Elephas maximus indicus: one gene and its partner. The protein of the gene in region 2 interacts with the protein of the main gene of each other region in a pairwise test. Links are inferred from orthologs where the notes say so. Each region holds a gene or a part of one and is shown on either strand. Other genes may lie near its edges.

Region 1 (7,087 bases), on a different chromosome or scaffold from region 2:
GCTTGCAGGTTTCCAAAGCAGCAAAGTTACTCCTGTCAGCTGATGTGACCTTTCCTTCCCAGCCCTGCTGAAAGCTACCTCTTCCTGAAGGTCCCACAGATCTCTCCTGCACAGGGTTTTTTTTTTCTCTCTCTCTCTCCCTCCCTCCCCGCCCTCGTAGCCAACAAAGAATGTTTTCTTTTGTGTTTAAACCTTTTCTTGAGTTCTTATAACAGTGGTCTCATACAATATTTGTCCTTTTGCAACTGTTTCATTTCACTCAGCATAATGCCTTCCAGATTCATCCATGTTGTGAAATGTTTCACAGATTCATCATTGTTCTTTATTGTTGTGTAGTATCCCACTGTGTGAATATAAGACAGGCGGCAAAGGCCCTAAGATCGCAGGATGCCTGTTTGAGAAATAGAGAAGACACTGCTATGGTTAGAGGAGAAACAAGAGAAATAGGCTATGCTTTATCAGGGAGGTAATAGGAGGTTGAGTGTGGAACCTAGAGACTTAGTAAGACAGAGAACAGAGAGGCCCCCAAATCTGCAAACAAAATAACAAGAAATAGGCCAGGGCGCAGAAACAAAGTCATTCTCCAGAACAGAGAGGCCGGGTATCTAAAAATAGCCCGCAAACTTCTTTAAAGTTGCATTTCAGAAGCAGCTGGAGAAAACCAGGCCCCCGGGACTTGCACAGAACATCCACCTGTGATCCCTGTGTGACCTTCCACCAGGGGCAGTGAGGGGCTACAGCCCCAGCCAGGTCGAGCCTGGGGAGTGGGAGACTGCGCAGGTGTGACACCCCATAATAAGTCCTGCCCAGAGGCCTCCAGGACAGGAGCCATCTTGGAAAGCTGCATGCGCCTTAGTTAACATACCCCCGCCTGTGTCTCTGAATAAACATGAATCTTTTCCCCTCCCAAGAACTTTTAAAAACTCGCCCGTCGTTTGTTCTGTGAGATGAGAGTAAGCGTTGCTCTAGGCCCTCCTTTGTCTCCATTTGCAAGCCTCTTCAATAAAGCTTTGCTCGTGTGGAAAACTGCTCATTCTTGACCAGTGAGAGGCAAGAACCTTATTCCAGTAACAAATATACAATAATTTGTTTATCCATTCGTGTGCTGATGGGCACCTAGGTTGTTTGCATCTTTTTGCTATTGTGAACAGTGCTGCAATGAACATGGGTGTGCATAAATATATTCATGGGACAGCTCTTATTTCTCTAGGATATATTCCAAACAGCGGGATTGCTGGATCATATGGTACTTTTTTTTTTTGGAGTTTTATTAAAAACTGTTCAACGTGGTCAAAAGTCTCATCTGTTTGACTGAAGTTCAATGGTCCAAACTATGAGAACTTTAGGAGCTTCAAAGCTAAACAAAACATAAAACAAAGAACTGCCACAGGATTTTTTTTGTCAGAGCCACCACCCTCTTGGTTTTGGACATTGCCTCACCTGTCTTTTCAGGTGTGCAGTTTTACCTTCCATCTGAGAAAGCTGTCTCAGGGGCCAGTAATGGGACTTCCATTTCTATCCCCTCAGGATTCAGGATGGTGCCCCCAGACAAACTTCACGGAGCATTGGAATCCCCTGGAGGGCTTGTCATACACAGATGTTGGGCCCCACCCCTGGAGCCCTGGTATCACAGTGGTTACAACACTCGGCTGCTAACCAGGAGTTCAGTGACTGGAACCCACCAGCCTCTCCTAGGAAGAAAGATGTGGCAGTCTGTTTCCATAAAGATTTACAGTCTTTGAAACTCTATGAGGCAGTTCTACTTTGTCGTTTAGGATGAGTCAGAATCAATGGGTTTATGGGCCCCACCCCAGAATGTCTGATTCACAGTCTGGGGCGAAGCCCAGGATTTGCATTTCGACCAAGTTCTCTGGCGTTGCTGCTGGTCCAGGAACCTCTGTAGTTATTGTCGCTGTTAGCTGCCGTCAAGTTGGCCCCGACTCATGGTCACGCACAACAGAAGAAACGCTGCTCAGTCCTGCATCATCCCCCTTGCAGATCAGACCATTGTGGTCCATCAGGTTTTCATTGGCTGATTTTTGGAAGTAGATCACCAGGCCTTTTTTCTTAGTCCATCTTAACCCGGAATTTCCACAGAAACCAGTTCAGCATCATAGCAACACAGAAGCCTCCACTGATGGACAGGTGACAGCTGCACATGAGGCGCGTCGGTTGGGAATTGAACTCAGGTCCCCCTCATGGAAGGTGAGAATTTTACCATTGAACTGCCACTGCCACGTGTATATCAATTAGTATATGGGTTGGCATAACTACAGGCTATCAATTAGAAACAGGTACCCCTCTGGGAGGACACAGCCCTTCAAATAAACAGCTTGACTTCAGTCTGTGCTCACCCCTCAGTAGGTTCCCTTGAGTCGGGCGCACACAGCCCAGCTGAGGCAGGCAGCCTCAGAGCCCAACCTTTCTGAGAAATACCTGCTCTGACTTGTCCACCTACACTGAGCAAAATAAGCTGCCCCTTCTTCTGAAATTGTCCTTGACAAGATAACCGCAGATGGCCTCAACCAGCCTCTGGGTGGAGACTTAACATCCTAATGAAGAAAAAATCATCCCTTCCTCCATCCTGGGGGATCAAACCCTTTGTCTAAAGAAAATCCATAGTCACGCCCAAGCCCTGAGCACCTGCGGGAAGGTCAATCCTGAATATTCATAATGAATTTATATTTCCTTGTCTGCTCTTTGTGAAAGCCCACTTCCCTGGGCTGCCTACAGCAGTCTTAGAGACAACAGCCCGGATTGCTCCTTTCCTTCTACAATGAAGTAAAGGCGTCTTTCTGATCTCCCTCCTTGGCCTCTTGTTTATTGGCTGTAACAAGTCACCAGGGGCAAAACCTGCGATTTTCACCGGCAACACAACCAATAGGTGCCCAGCTATCTGGCCCATCTCCTGCCACTGACCTGCATACATCCCGGCCTCCCAGAGAAAGCTGGAGGTCCCGGAACACCCAGCCTTCCATTCATTCATTCATTTATTCATTCAGCCACACCAGTGGCATCACTGTGGGAGGTGCGGACCACACCCCCTGACACTGTCAGGCGGTGACACCACATTGACCCCAGGGTCCACCGCATGGTCGGCGGCGTCAGGCGGGAGCTGCCAGGGAAGGGGCCACCAAGGCAGTGATGTCACTAGGGTTGATGTCAGCCGTCACCCAGTATGGTAACGCGTCACCACCACCCCACTCCCATCACCCACCAGTCAGGGTGCAGGCTGCCTCCACCTTGGCCAACGGGAGAGGGGAGGAACTGCAGGAGTCACGGGGGGGCGGGGCCGGGAGGGGCGGGGGCACGCAGGGCAGTCTTTGGCCCTGCCATGGGGGAGGTGACACCATCAGTTACTACACTGGGTGACATCAACCCTAGTGATGCCACTAAGCCACACCTTATGGAGGCTCCCTGTGTCCCCAGCACTGTCCCAGGTCCTGGGGGATACAATAGTGAACTTGGAAATGTGGCTGCCAGGCCTGGTGGATGGCCTGGGGCACCTGGACACAGCTCTCAAATTTCCCAATGCTCTCTTTGCTTCCTCACTGTTGGTTCTGCCACGTAGCAGATGGTGAGGGACAGAAATGACTTCGTCAAAGGGATGAACTTGGTCCCAGGGCTAAGAGAGAAGGGTGAGTCAGTGGGGACAGAATCCCAGCCTGCTATCCTTCCCTGGTGCCAAATCGGTATCCCCTGCCCGGCTTCCCGGGCATGAGACGCGTGTGCAGGGCTGCCTGTTCAACACTGTCGCTCAGGCATCTACAAGCCCCCACCCCTCACTGGTCCCAACTGAACCCAGAGTCCACCTCTCCAGTGGGCTCCTCATTCTCTTCTCTGCATCATAAAAAATGGCACAGCCACCACCCTCAGCCAAACTGGAAATCCAGGGCCATCCCCCTCCGCTCCCCCCTCACTCGGGAGGTCAGCTGAAGGCCAACTTCAGTCCTGCTCCCCTCAGGGGTCTCCCTGGTCTGCCCTCCTCCACCGACCCAGCCACCATCTCTGCTCAGACCACTCACGTTTAGCTGCTCTCACCAACATCTACAGGAGGGTCACCCTCCCCACTGAACCACCTTTCTAAAATGAGAACATGATTAGGTCACTCCCCTAGGTCGCCCATTTTCTTTCCTGATTCCACTCCTCCCCCAACCCAGCCTCCACACTCCCCTGACTCCAGCCACACTGACTTGCTCACAGTCCCAGAGCAGCAGAGGCTTCTCAGAAGGCCCTCCCCGCCCACCATATCGCAGGTTAGCTGCCTCCTGCCTCCTCCAAGTCTTACCGGAGCACTCACTCCTCCAGGAAGCCTGCCCTGACCACCTGGCTGAATTAAGTGCCCCTCCACCAGCCTCCACAGCCCTGGTGCTTCCCTCTTTTCTTCTACGTAATACACGATAGCAAAGTCAACTATTTTCTAATCTGGGAGAAACTCATGTGCTGTATCCTCAGTGCCTAGCACAGTGCCTGACACATAGTAGGTGTCCAATAAAATTTTCATTGAATAAACAAATGAACATCAAGGAGAAGAATCTTCTGATCAGAGGCAGTGCAGAAAATTGCCCCTCACAACTTAGAAGGGGTTCTTTCTCCTCGTTGTTGTCGTTCGGTGCCGTCGAGTTGGTTTCAACTCATAGCGACCCTATAGGACAGAGTAGAACTGCCCCGTAGGGTTTCCAAGGAGCAGTCAACCGTATTTCTCCTTGGGGCTCTGAAATACAGTGGGGGAGCTCATGGTGAAGGACACAGGGGTTGGAAAGCCACCTAGTTCAAGTTCTTGGCATCTACAGTGTCCGGGCACCAGCTCCCCTGCCCCCCCCACACCCAGGGAGGAGCAGCCACAGCCACTAGCCGACCTTGACATAGGTGATGAACCACTCTCCCCCCCAACAATGTGTTCAGACATATATAGAAACAACTGGGCAGCTGGCTTTTGTTGATGTTAATCTTAGCCCCTCAGAGGTCATGATGGACTATGACCACCCCTTCCAATCCCTGCCCAGGCTTGGCCTAGAATGTCAGACGGAAGCAGGAGCCAACACAGCCCTGCCTTTGTTTCTGGTAAACACTATACCGCTGCCCCTCCTCCCCTCCCCCACCTCCAAGCCCCATACCTCCACCAACTCTAGGCCCTCTTTCTTCACCTCTCTCACATTCCTGCCTCCACCCCATAACTGTTTTTCAGAAGCTTTTTTTTTTGCGGGGGGGTGGAATTGACCAATCAGGATGCCAAATGCCATTCCTTTCACACTCTGGCCAGGATGTAGTCTCCAGAGCTCGGCTGATATTATGTATCTCACAAAGCTATTGTAATGATTACCCAACGAAAAACCAAACCCACTGCCATCTGACTCAGAGCGACCCCATGGGACAGAGCAATATCAATGGATTTTAATGTAACAGTATGAAAACTTCATCCATATGGTTTCAGATTCTGCATTGCAAGTTGTTGTTGGGTGCCATCAAGTCAAGAACTGACCCATAGGGTTTTCTAGGCTGTAATCTTTATGGGAGTAAATCGCCTGGTCTTTCTCCCATGGAGCCATCGTGTGGGCTTGAACCACCAACCTTTCAGTTGGCAGCCGAACTCTTAGCCATTGTGCCACCAGACAAGTTTTGGTATAGTACCCAAGAAGGATACCCACAATTATCTGAAAAGGCTATTGAAATACTCCTCCTTTTCCAACTGCACACCTGTGTGAGGCTGGGAATTTTTTCATACACCTCAAAGGAAACGCATTACAACAGATTGACCAAAGAAGCAGGTATGAAAGTGCAGCTGCTGTTTATTAAGACAGACATTAAAAACATTTGCAAAAGTATAAAACAATGTCCCTCTTGTCACTAGGTATTTTTGTTTGTAAAATATAGTTATTTTGACAAAAACGTGTCATTTATGTTAACATGTAAAATGAGGTGAGTATCGTAATTATTAAATGAATTCATAAGTTTTTTTTTTTCAGCTTTCTCAGCTTTAATTTGTAGTATGTTAAATACTGACAGATATAACCCACTGAACTATGGTTTGGTTTTAAGATGACCGCAGGGAATATTTTTGGTTTAAAGTTTAAAGATTATCTCAGAGCAATAGTTTTAGGGGTTCATCCACTCGCCATGGCTCCAGAAATTCTAGAGTCCGTGAGAATTTGAAATTCTGGTCTGCATTTTCCCCCTTTTGATAAGGATTCTTTATGGAATCTTTGATCAAAATGCTCAGTAATGGTAGCCAGGCACCATCCAATTCTGGTATCTTGGCAAAAGGGGCAATTGTTCAAGGAGACAATTAGCCACACATTTCATATCCTCCTTCCATTCCTGACTCTCCCTCTTCCTCTGTTGCTTCAGGTGAATAGAGAACAATTGTGCCTTGGATGTCTGCTTGCGAGCTTTTAAGATCTCAGACACAACACAGTGAAGTAGGAGGTAGGTCAGAAGCACTAGGCACGTTATCAGGCCAATTAACTGGAATGCTCCAGGAAACCATGCCCTTGAGCCTCCAAGCCAAGGAACCAAATCCAGTGAGGTGTTTGCTTGTACCTAAGCGGCCTCAGCAGCTACTCTTTTTTTTTTTTTTTTTGCCATTGTTGTAAATATCTCTATCGCATAATTTTTACCAATTCAACTTTTTACAAGTGTACAATTTATTGACAGCAATTACGATAACCAGCTGCGCAACCCTACCCTGAATCAATACTATTTTTCCACCACCGTTAACACCCCTTTTCCACCCTACCTCTGCCCCTGGAAACCACTAATAAACTTTGATCTCCATACAGTTGCTTTTTCTTGTTTTTTTTTTTTAATATATAAGTGAGGTCATATAATATTTGTCCTTTTGTGTTTGGCTTATTTCTCTCAGCATAATGTCTTCAAAGTCCATTCATATTGTAGTGTGTACCAAGACTTCATTTCTCCTGCTGGCTGAGTGGTATCCCACATTTTGTTTATCCATTCATCTGTTAATGAGGGTTTAGGTTGTTTCCACATTAGTGTACAAGTCTCTTTTTGAGTCTCTGCTTTCAAGTCTACGAGTGGAATTGCTGGGTCGTATGATAGTTCTGTTGTTCGTTTTTTGAGAAACTGC
Region 2 (8,044 bases):
CTCAAAAAGTCACGATCTCTACAGCCAAATAAACATGTTTTCAAGTCATATTTTCCTTTTTAAGCTCTTGATATAAAATGGCTGCTGTATAATTCCAAGAGTCATTTTACATAGGTATATAATGAGTCATAGTTACTTCTTCAATGAAACAAAAATGTTTAGCTGAAGAGATTTAAAAAGGGATAAAAAGGATTGCCAGATAACCTCCCTAAGGCTCATTTCAGAATTTCCTAATATTTTGTAAGTTACTATTTTACTTAACATGTCTATTTTACCTTCTAATATTTGCCTTGAAGAAAACACGTAAAAACTGAATGCATTAAATTACAATTTAAACCCATAATATGATACAAAGTTTAAAAAGATAGATAGAAATGAGGTTTGATTTTTTTAATGACATGTGGAATGTCCTAAGAAAACAGGATACAGAGCTTACACGGGAAATTTTTATACAAGAAAACTAGAAGACAATAGAATTTTTAAAATATTTTTATTAGTATACATCTATTTGATAGCTTCAAATTTAGAACACTTAGGATTAGCATGACCAAGGAGACCTACTATTGGATAAGGATCTGAAATGGATAACTGTAACAGGTTCGTATCAACCTCCGCATGCGATTTCTGTATCTTGTACAGTGAAAAACTGATTTACACAGCACTATCGAATTACAGTATTTTTCTAATACTCCATGTTGCAGTCTCAGAATACTTTTCAGTTAAACTGATTCAGATGAGAAACAGGAAAATTTGTATTTTGAAGTTGAATAAATATCTAGCAAATTCCTTTCTTTCCATTAAATCAGGAACGATTTACAGTAAACAAAAACTATCCACGGTATCAGTTAACACTAACGGTTTTCACACTTTTACTGAGCATGTTCCTATGAACCAGGCCCTGCACTAAACTTCTGAACATGCAATTTCTCATGTAATTACCTCAATGGCAAGTGTCACAGGTTCACTTGTTTTTCACAACTGACGATGGTGGCACGATGACAGCTTACACTGAGCTCATGTGTCCAAGCCTTTACATGGCATCTCAGCCAGCAGGACGCTATGGTACTGTTGCAGCTCCCGGTGTTCGCTTGCACGATTTTACGAATATTACACAAAGAAGTAGGCCTGACTTCCCCCCCAAGAAACAGAACATGGCTAAGTCTTACTAATCTGAGACACACCTGTACGACACAGACAACGGAACAGCTGTGATCTAGGTCTGCCCTAAAGCCCCTCCGCTTCCCGAGGCTCAGAAGTGCCCTTCCAGGCCTAACTGCAGGAGGGCGGCCTCGGCCTCCTCCTCCTCCTCCTTGGCCTCCTCCTCGCGGATCTGCACCAGCAACTGGAAGAGGTTCGGAGCCGGCCCCTCCGCAGCCCCGGTCAGCCACAGCTGCCTCCGGATGGCCCCGCTGTGGTTGGCCCCCGCAATGACCTGCTCCAGGCGGGCCTGGTTCACGTTATCTTTATCTATGGCCCCCTTCTCCACCACCTTCTGCAGCAGAGGCTCCAGACGGATGACATAAGCAGATAACTTTTCTCCCGGGTTCTGGTAAGTGTTCAGAAACCTGACCTGGGCATCCCGGGAGCTCTCGACGCTCCCAAACACCTGCTCCAGCGCCTTCAGACACTCGGCGGAGGTTATCGCAGGGTTGTTGGTCTTGAGGATGCGAATGACATCGGCGGCGGGGCCTCTGAGGCTCTCCACCAACCGCCGCCTCTTTTCTAGATCGGACACCTGCCACTCCTCCATGACCTCATTAGTGTGCTCCAGCCAGTGATCAAAGGCCTCCTCCCCAGGGCCCGGGATGTCCCTCCCCGAGAACAGCGTCAGCTTCTTGTACCATATGGACTCGACAAGAGGCTGGATAACATTATCCAAAATATAGTTAAGCATCTCTGCCGGCATTTCTGGGCCTGGAGCAGGAGCGGGGTTCTGAAACCCAAGGACTCGGGCGACATCTTGCACTGTCCACCCCTCTCTTGCCAGGAAGAGGTGCAACCTTTCTAAAAATTCAGCATCGGATGTCGGGGGCTTAAAGACCACTTTCCAGACCCCTCCCTTGCCCGGCATCTCCCTGGGTATGTTGGCGTAATCGACAGCGCCAGTGAGCTCTAACAAGGCTGCTTTCGCATTCTCTTCCCTCCAGAACATTCTCCCAAGCACTCGATAGGGCACCTGGGGCATCGCAGCCCGGAGGGTATCTTCGATTTCAGCCTCGTCACAGTTCACTGGGATCCCCCAGACCAGCAGGGCTCTCTGGGAGTTCACATCCATCCCCCTGCACCAGTCTTCCAACAGGGTCATCGCCATCTTCCCACCTATCAAATGGGGCCGGCTCCACAAGTACCGGTTCGATGGTGGCTCACTCTGCAATAGGGCTACGAATGATACCAGAGCCTCCCCCCCCCAAAAGCCCGAGGGAGGCAAGCTTCACGCAGTCACAATTAAGAAACGACACCAGAGTCCTGCTTTCGCCCTTCCTCCCTGCCCCCCAAAGTACTCCCCCTAAGTCGGTCTGCGCGTCCTTGGAGCGAGGCCTCGGGATGCTCAGTCACGCGGCCGCCGCCATCTTGCGTCTCCGGTCGGGGTCCGCGGCCGAGGTCCGTCGCCTACAGACAGGGGGCGAGTCGCAGCACAGACGAGGAGCCGCCGGGCGGGAGACGATGCCGGGGTGCAGTCTTGGGGCGCGGTCGCCTCGGTCCGCACCCGGGAGCTAGCTGCTGCTCCGGGAGTCGACTGGGCGTCCGCGGTCGGAGCGCGGCCTTCAGACCGGGGAGGAGCGGCTGTTTGGCAGACGAGGACTCTGACGCCCCCGGAGGAAGAGGCTGTCCCAAAGTTGTGGAGGCGGCAGCGGCCGATCAGCCCGCGAGGTCAGCCCGCGAGCGGCTACTTCGCGGGCCCGACGACCCCCTCTCGGCGGCAAGGACAACCGAGGGCCGAGGATCGAGGCCCGAAGGCGGAGGCTATACGGACAGGGCAAGCTGGAGAGGAAGAGCGGCCGGAGGGCAGCGCGCGTGCTGTAGCTGTCTCTGGCGGAGCGCAGCAGCCGGCGCGTCCTCCCCGCCGCGAGCCGAGCGTTACTGCCGCAGAGGGCGGGGCCAAGCCTGACAGGCGGCTTCCAGCCCGCCCCGCCCCGCCCCTGCCCTCCGTAGCCATGGCAACGGTGTCCCAGGCGACGCGAAATTCGCGCGCTTTGGCGGCGGGCGGCGTTGAGCAGTTGCCATGGGGCCGGCGAGGGGCTCCTGGCACTGATCTCTCGGATGGTGTATTTCTTTTTTCATATATATATTTTTTTATAATGAAAGAATACTGCTAAAAGAATCTAATTCTGGAGTGGATCTAAGATACTGGTGGAAATGCATCCGTCGTGGCCGACTTGTCTACTCAGGTAGCTCATTCCACCGGTCTATGCTGCGTAGAGAACGCTCACCTCAGCACCCGGCCTCGCTGAGCCACCTGAGCACACTCTCTCTGCACCTCCGTGGTTCAGCCCATTGAAATTGTAATGTGGGAAGTGTGCCATTTATGGTTTTTGAGACGTTGAGTTTAGACTTTGTCCTGTCTAAAATATCGTAAAAGACATTATTTCTACTCAGTCATCTTTGTAGGAAGGCAAACACTAGTATGATATTTCCCCTCTCCTGGCTCCTGGACAATGGGCTGATAAAAATTGAATCCTTACGGTTCAAAAATGTCCAGTGTAATCCCTTGTAAACAAAACAAGGCCTACTGACGTCAATCCCAGATGGTGAAAATCCCCCCAAAAGAACACAACATTCAACTCTGAATTTTTAAAACCTTATTTAATAAAAGGTTTAAAGATACAGAGGGAACATTCAAAAGTAAATAAGTTACATAGGTACATTACAATCACATCAGCAAGATTTTCTTTAGTGTATTAATTTTTTTATAAAAAGCACACAAAAAATAAAATCTTCAGTCTCGTCTATCACAACTGTACAGCAAAAGAGGTAATATTTCTATATATATGTACACTATTTTAATATGTAACAGTCTTTTTAAAAAAGGGTGCCACAGGCAGCAAACACACAAAAGGCAGTGTCTGATCATTTCTCTCAAAATAAAAGGAATATACTTATTTATATGCTATTAAAATATTTGTACAATAATTACAGACTGTCAAGGCTGTTCCTGTGCTCTGTCCCCTCCAACAAGGCCTTCAACTTTAGAGACAAATGAGGAAAAGGTGAAACAGCTGCAAATTGTTAGAGGCAAATATTAACACAGAAAAATGTGGGGAGGACATAGAATTGTTTTATAAAAATATGTATTACTTCCTGTAAACCTAAGGAGTTAGGTTTGCCAGTCTGGTAATAAATACCGACCCAGAAAAGTAAGTCCCAGTGAAAATATATTTAAACAGCTGAGGCTTAAGGATGTGTTGTATTCCTCCTTCATCTTAACATCTGGCACATGAGAAGAAAGAGTTTAGGTCACTGAGGCAGTTAAATATAGACGATCCCTTTAGACATAAGCAGCGCACAACCTCTGTGCCAGGGGAGGCCCTCACTTAGCACAGCAGGAGGTGGGGCAGCAGAAGGGGCAGGTATGTACCTTAGCTGTGAGGGAGGCTGCTGAAGGCATGGAGAACGGTGCGGACAGCACTGTCTCCCTGGGTGGGTAAGAGACCTCAGAAATGGTCTGGAACACAGGCACTAGGTCAGTTTCACGCCCTTAGCTGACTGCAGATGGACCCTGGGAAATGGATGTGATGAGACAGTGTGAGAAGGAGGACATAAAGCTGGAGGTGTTTGTCATTTAACTTCCTAAAGCAAAGAGCTCTGAATAAAAGAAGAAAAAGAGGAACCTAATGCATTCACAGGGAGAAAGCACCATTAAGGATATACTTATGCCAGCTTCTATGGCTGCACCTACCTTATTGGCAGGTCACTCCACAATTGCATCTGCCCTCTGAACAGTTTAATTTTTCACATTGCATTCTAGATATAAATCCATCCTGGAGCATGAACCCTCCTAAAATGCGGTGTCTGGTGGGGTAGGCTGCTGGAGGATTAATACAGACAGGTACCATCTTAATTTTTCCCACCTACATTCACCTGGTCTGGTCTCCATAAGCTTAGGAGAAAAGAATCACTTTCTTATTAAAAAAGATTTCCAAATACTAGAAGCCACCACTGAACAGAAGGGTCTCACGTGCCTGAAGGAGGTTTCTGTTACCACATGTCCATAAAGGGGCCTGAAACAAAATACAGTTTAAGTAGAAAAAACCTTGGGAAACATAAGGAGCACTTTGGGGCGAAGCTTTGAAGGCACTCATATTACACAAATGATTTAAAAGAGAGCCTAAATTTGCTACTCTCCTGCTTCTAGATGGTATACCAGATCTTTGCAATCTCCGGACACTGAGTTTGTAGAAGTCCATGGAGAAAACAAGTAGGAAGTTGGAAATCAGGGTAGTTGTCCAGGAGTCTGGGGGGAGAATAATTTTGTTACTCCTATAGTTGGGGTCCTGCGGAACAACATTAATGCATAAATGAATACTGAAAACTACCTGATAGTGCATAGTTTAAAAACAAAACTCCCTCCCCACTCCTAGTTACCAACATGACGGCTTGAAGCTCTCCTGGGAGGACCAGCAGAAAGAATACTTTTCGGCTCCTTCCTAACACGTTGATTTGTTAGAACTTCTTTTTCACAACTAAAGTTGAGTAACAAGATCAAAAAAATAACTCATCCCTCCTATGGGGCTGGCAAGGGAAGGGGCCTCCAGGGCCTTTCAGCCCTCTCACTTCAGTGACTCCTTGCCAAATTCAGCTTCTTACAGCAGAATCCAGACCTGATAAACTCAACCAGAATTCTGGCCACCTGCCAATCTCCTCAGGCAACTTCAAAGTACAGCCAGGGAAGAGGTAGCAGAGGAAAACTGCCTTTGATCTCCCCTGCTCCTGCTAGTCTCTCCTGCTTGGGTGACACCCTCCACTCTACCCTGTCTCAGTCCTGCTATCATTCCTATTGGCAAGAGCTTTCAGAGCAAAGAGGTGGGGGACCTTAGGGCCTTAGCGAGCGGGGTGCCAAGAAGGTGCCTTGTTTTGGGATAAATGCACTTGGGCCTCTGGAAAGCAGGAGGCCCCTGGTCCCTGAGAGGATGTTAAAAATTAAATATTAAGAATAAATAAATAGCTCCCAAATCACACGAGTCAAGGAATGAAGGCTCCTTTCCAATCTAGTTTGGAGACCTCCCCCTCCCAGGGAAGGATGCAGAAATCTCCAGCGTGCAGGGCTGGGGGCTGGGCTGTGGGTACCAGCACTGGAGGTGGGGGCAGGCAGCTGCTGACAGAGGCAGGCGAGGCGCTGTGCCCACCCAGGTGGAGCAGGCTGGGCTGCTGGGGATCCTCCCTCCTGGCCTCTCCAGAACTGCCTCTAAGCTAAGCCCCCTAAGCAGCTTCCAGAGCCCAAGGTATTTGGCAAAGAGGTGCAAAGCAGGAAGAGCCAGGCTTATCAGAAGCTCCCTCAGACCTAAGGCTGCACACAGCCCTGCAGCTTCCAGCCTCTGCAGTTCCCCTCCCTCCAGAAGGCTGAGAGCTCAGACAGCACTCGGGCCCCTCCCCCCAGCAGGGCTGCTAGCAAGCAGCAAAGGGATAAGTACCTGTCCTCGATCTCTCTCCCATGAGGCATCCTGGTGGCCTCCCTGCAAGGAGGAGGTGGCCTCTCTGAGGACAGGGTCCCTGGAGCAGCTAAGACCTGGATGTTGCTGTGCAGGGGGCAGTCACAGGTGCCAGGCCGAGCCCTCTCTCAGAGACCCTTTTTCCAGGGTTTGGGGCAAGGCCTGGCAGCTTTTGAGGTCCACTGGGGAGGGGAAGTAATGGCTGGATGGGGTGAGCTTGTGCTTGGCTCCCCATGGCCACTTCCTAGAGACCAAGTGGGGGACAAGGAGGCAAAGAGGAAGGAAAGAGGCAGCAGAGGTCAGAGTGTGAGAGGCAGCGGTGGCAGCAGCTAGAGCCCCTTCCAAGGGGCATCCTGAACCCCAGCAGGGACTTCCACGAAAGCATGAGAACAACTTAAGACAGGCCGAATGCAAAGAGAACTGGATTCTGCTGCCCGTTAACACTGCTCCTGGGGCCTTTATAAATAAAAGAGCTGTTTATTTTACTGTGTGATTTTTTCTTTTTTTCCAGAGAAAAAAGTCCATGTGATTCTCTCCTCACACCCTCTTGAGGTTCCAAGGCATTTCCTGGTCTTTCTGCAGGCTGGTGCAGGGAGGGGCAGGGGAGCCCCGGGAGAGGGGGGCCAGCCCCTCGCTCTCCTGGCTGAACCCTCCAGGTCTTCTCAGCCCTCCTCTCCAGCCCCACTCTCCTCCTTCAGGGCCTGCTGGTGCAGGGAGCTCTCTTCTCGCAGAGCCTTCTGGTGGGGGGAGGCCGTGGCAGCAGGAGCAGCAGCGGCGGCGGCGGCAGCAGCGGCGGCGGCGGCGGCGGCAGCAGCCTCTCTCTCCTTCTGTTTCAGAGCTGCGGCCTTCTTCTCCTGCTCTGCGTGGCTCTTCATGTGGGCGCTGCGGCTCTTCACCTTGTAAAACACCCTGTAGCCGGGCAGGAGGGAGCTCAAGTAAGATGTCTGGGCCACCCACTCCCCAAGGGCCCCTAGATTACCCTGTGTGTGAGGGAGAGAGATGGGGGCTCCCATGGAGCCGTCCTGACTTGCTCCGAGTCAGTGGCACACCCTCACAGGCATTGACTCAGGGATGGTTCCTGATTCAGTGCCATCACCCTTCACTTCTAAAAGCTGCCAAATGATATCATTCCCCTAGAAACCCACTAAGCCAATGAGAAAACAAGATGAAATCTCTTACTTCTCCTCACAAGCCCAGCTTCTGCCCTGCCTCCAACTGCCAGCCAACCTGCTAGGTAGCCAGTGGAGACAGAGCCTGTCATCTTACCTGCCACATTTTTTACAAGGGAAAGTGTTCTCTTGATTCTGGGTCTTATTAAATGTCTCTGTTTTTTTCCTCTTCTCCGAAAAAGGTAGTGCCCTCCGTGACTTCCCTGCCCCCTCCCTTGGCTTCTCTGA

Evidence for each region. The genes of interacting proteins can lie anywhere in the genome.
Region 1: the proteins of PNMA1 (region 2) and TNNI1 interact in binary tests that used the Homo sapiens proteins (3 or more experiments, as listed by UniProt). The two-hybrid records come from large-scale screens. The link is inferred for Elephas maximus indicus from reciprocal best matches to the Homo sapiens genes PNMA1 and TNNI1.

What each region holds. Positions count from the first base shown.
Region 1 is NC_064836.1:9,948,906-9,955,992, forward strand, and holds the start of TNNI1 (troponin I, slow skeletal muscle), read right to left. Parts: upstream 3,094-7,087; coding exon 3,009-3,093; intron 1-3,008. UniProt on the Homo sapiens protein: Troponin I is the inhibitory subunit of troponin, the thin filament regulatory complex which confers calcium-sensitivity to striated muscle actomyosin ATPase activity.
Region 2 is NC_064828.1:86,445,010-86,453,053, forward strand, and holds PNMA1 (paraneoplastic antigen Ma1), read right to left. Parts: upstream 3,074-8,044; 5' UTR 2,312-3,073; coding exon 1,250-2,311; 3' UTR 500-1,249; downstream 1-499. Other genes in the region: MIDEAS (mitotic deacetylase-associated SANT domain protein), read right to left, coding at 7,310-7,556, 7,914-8,044.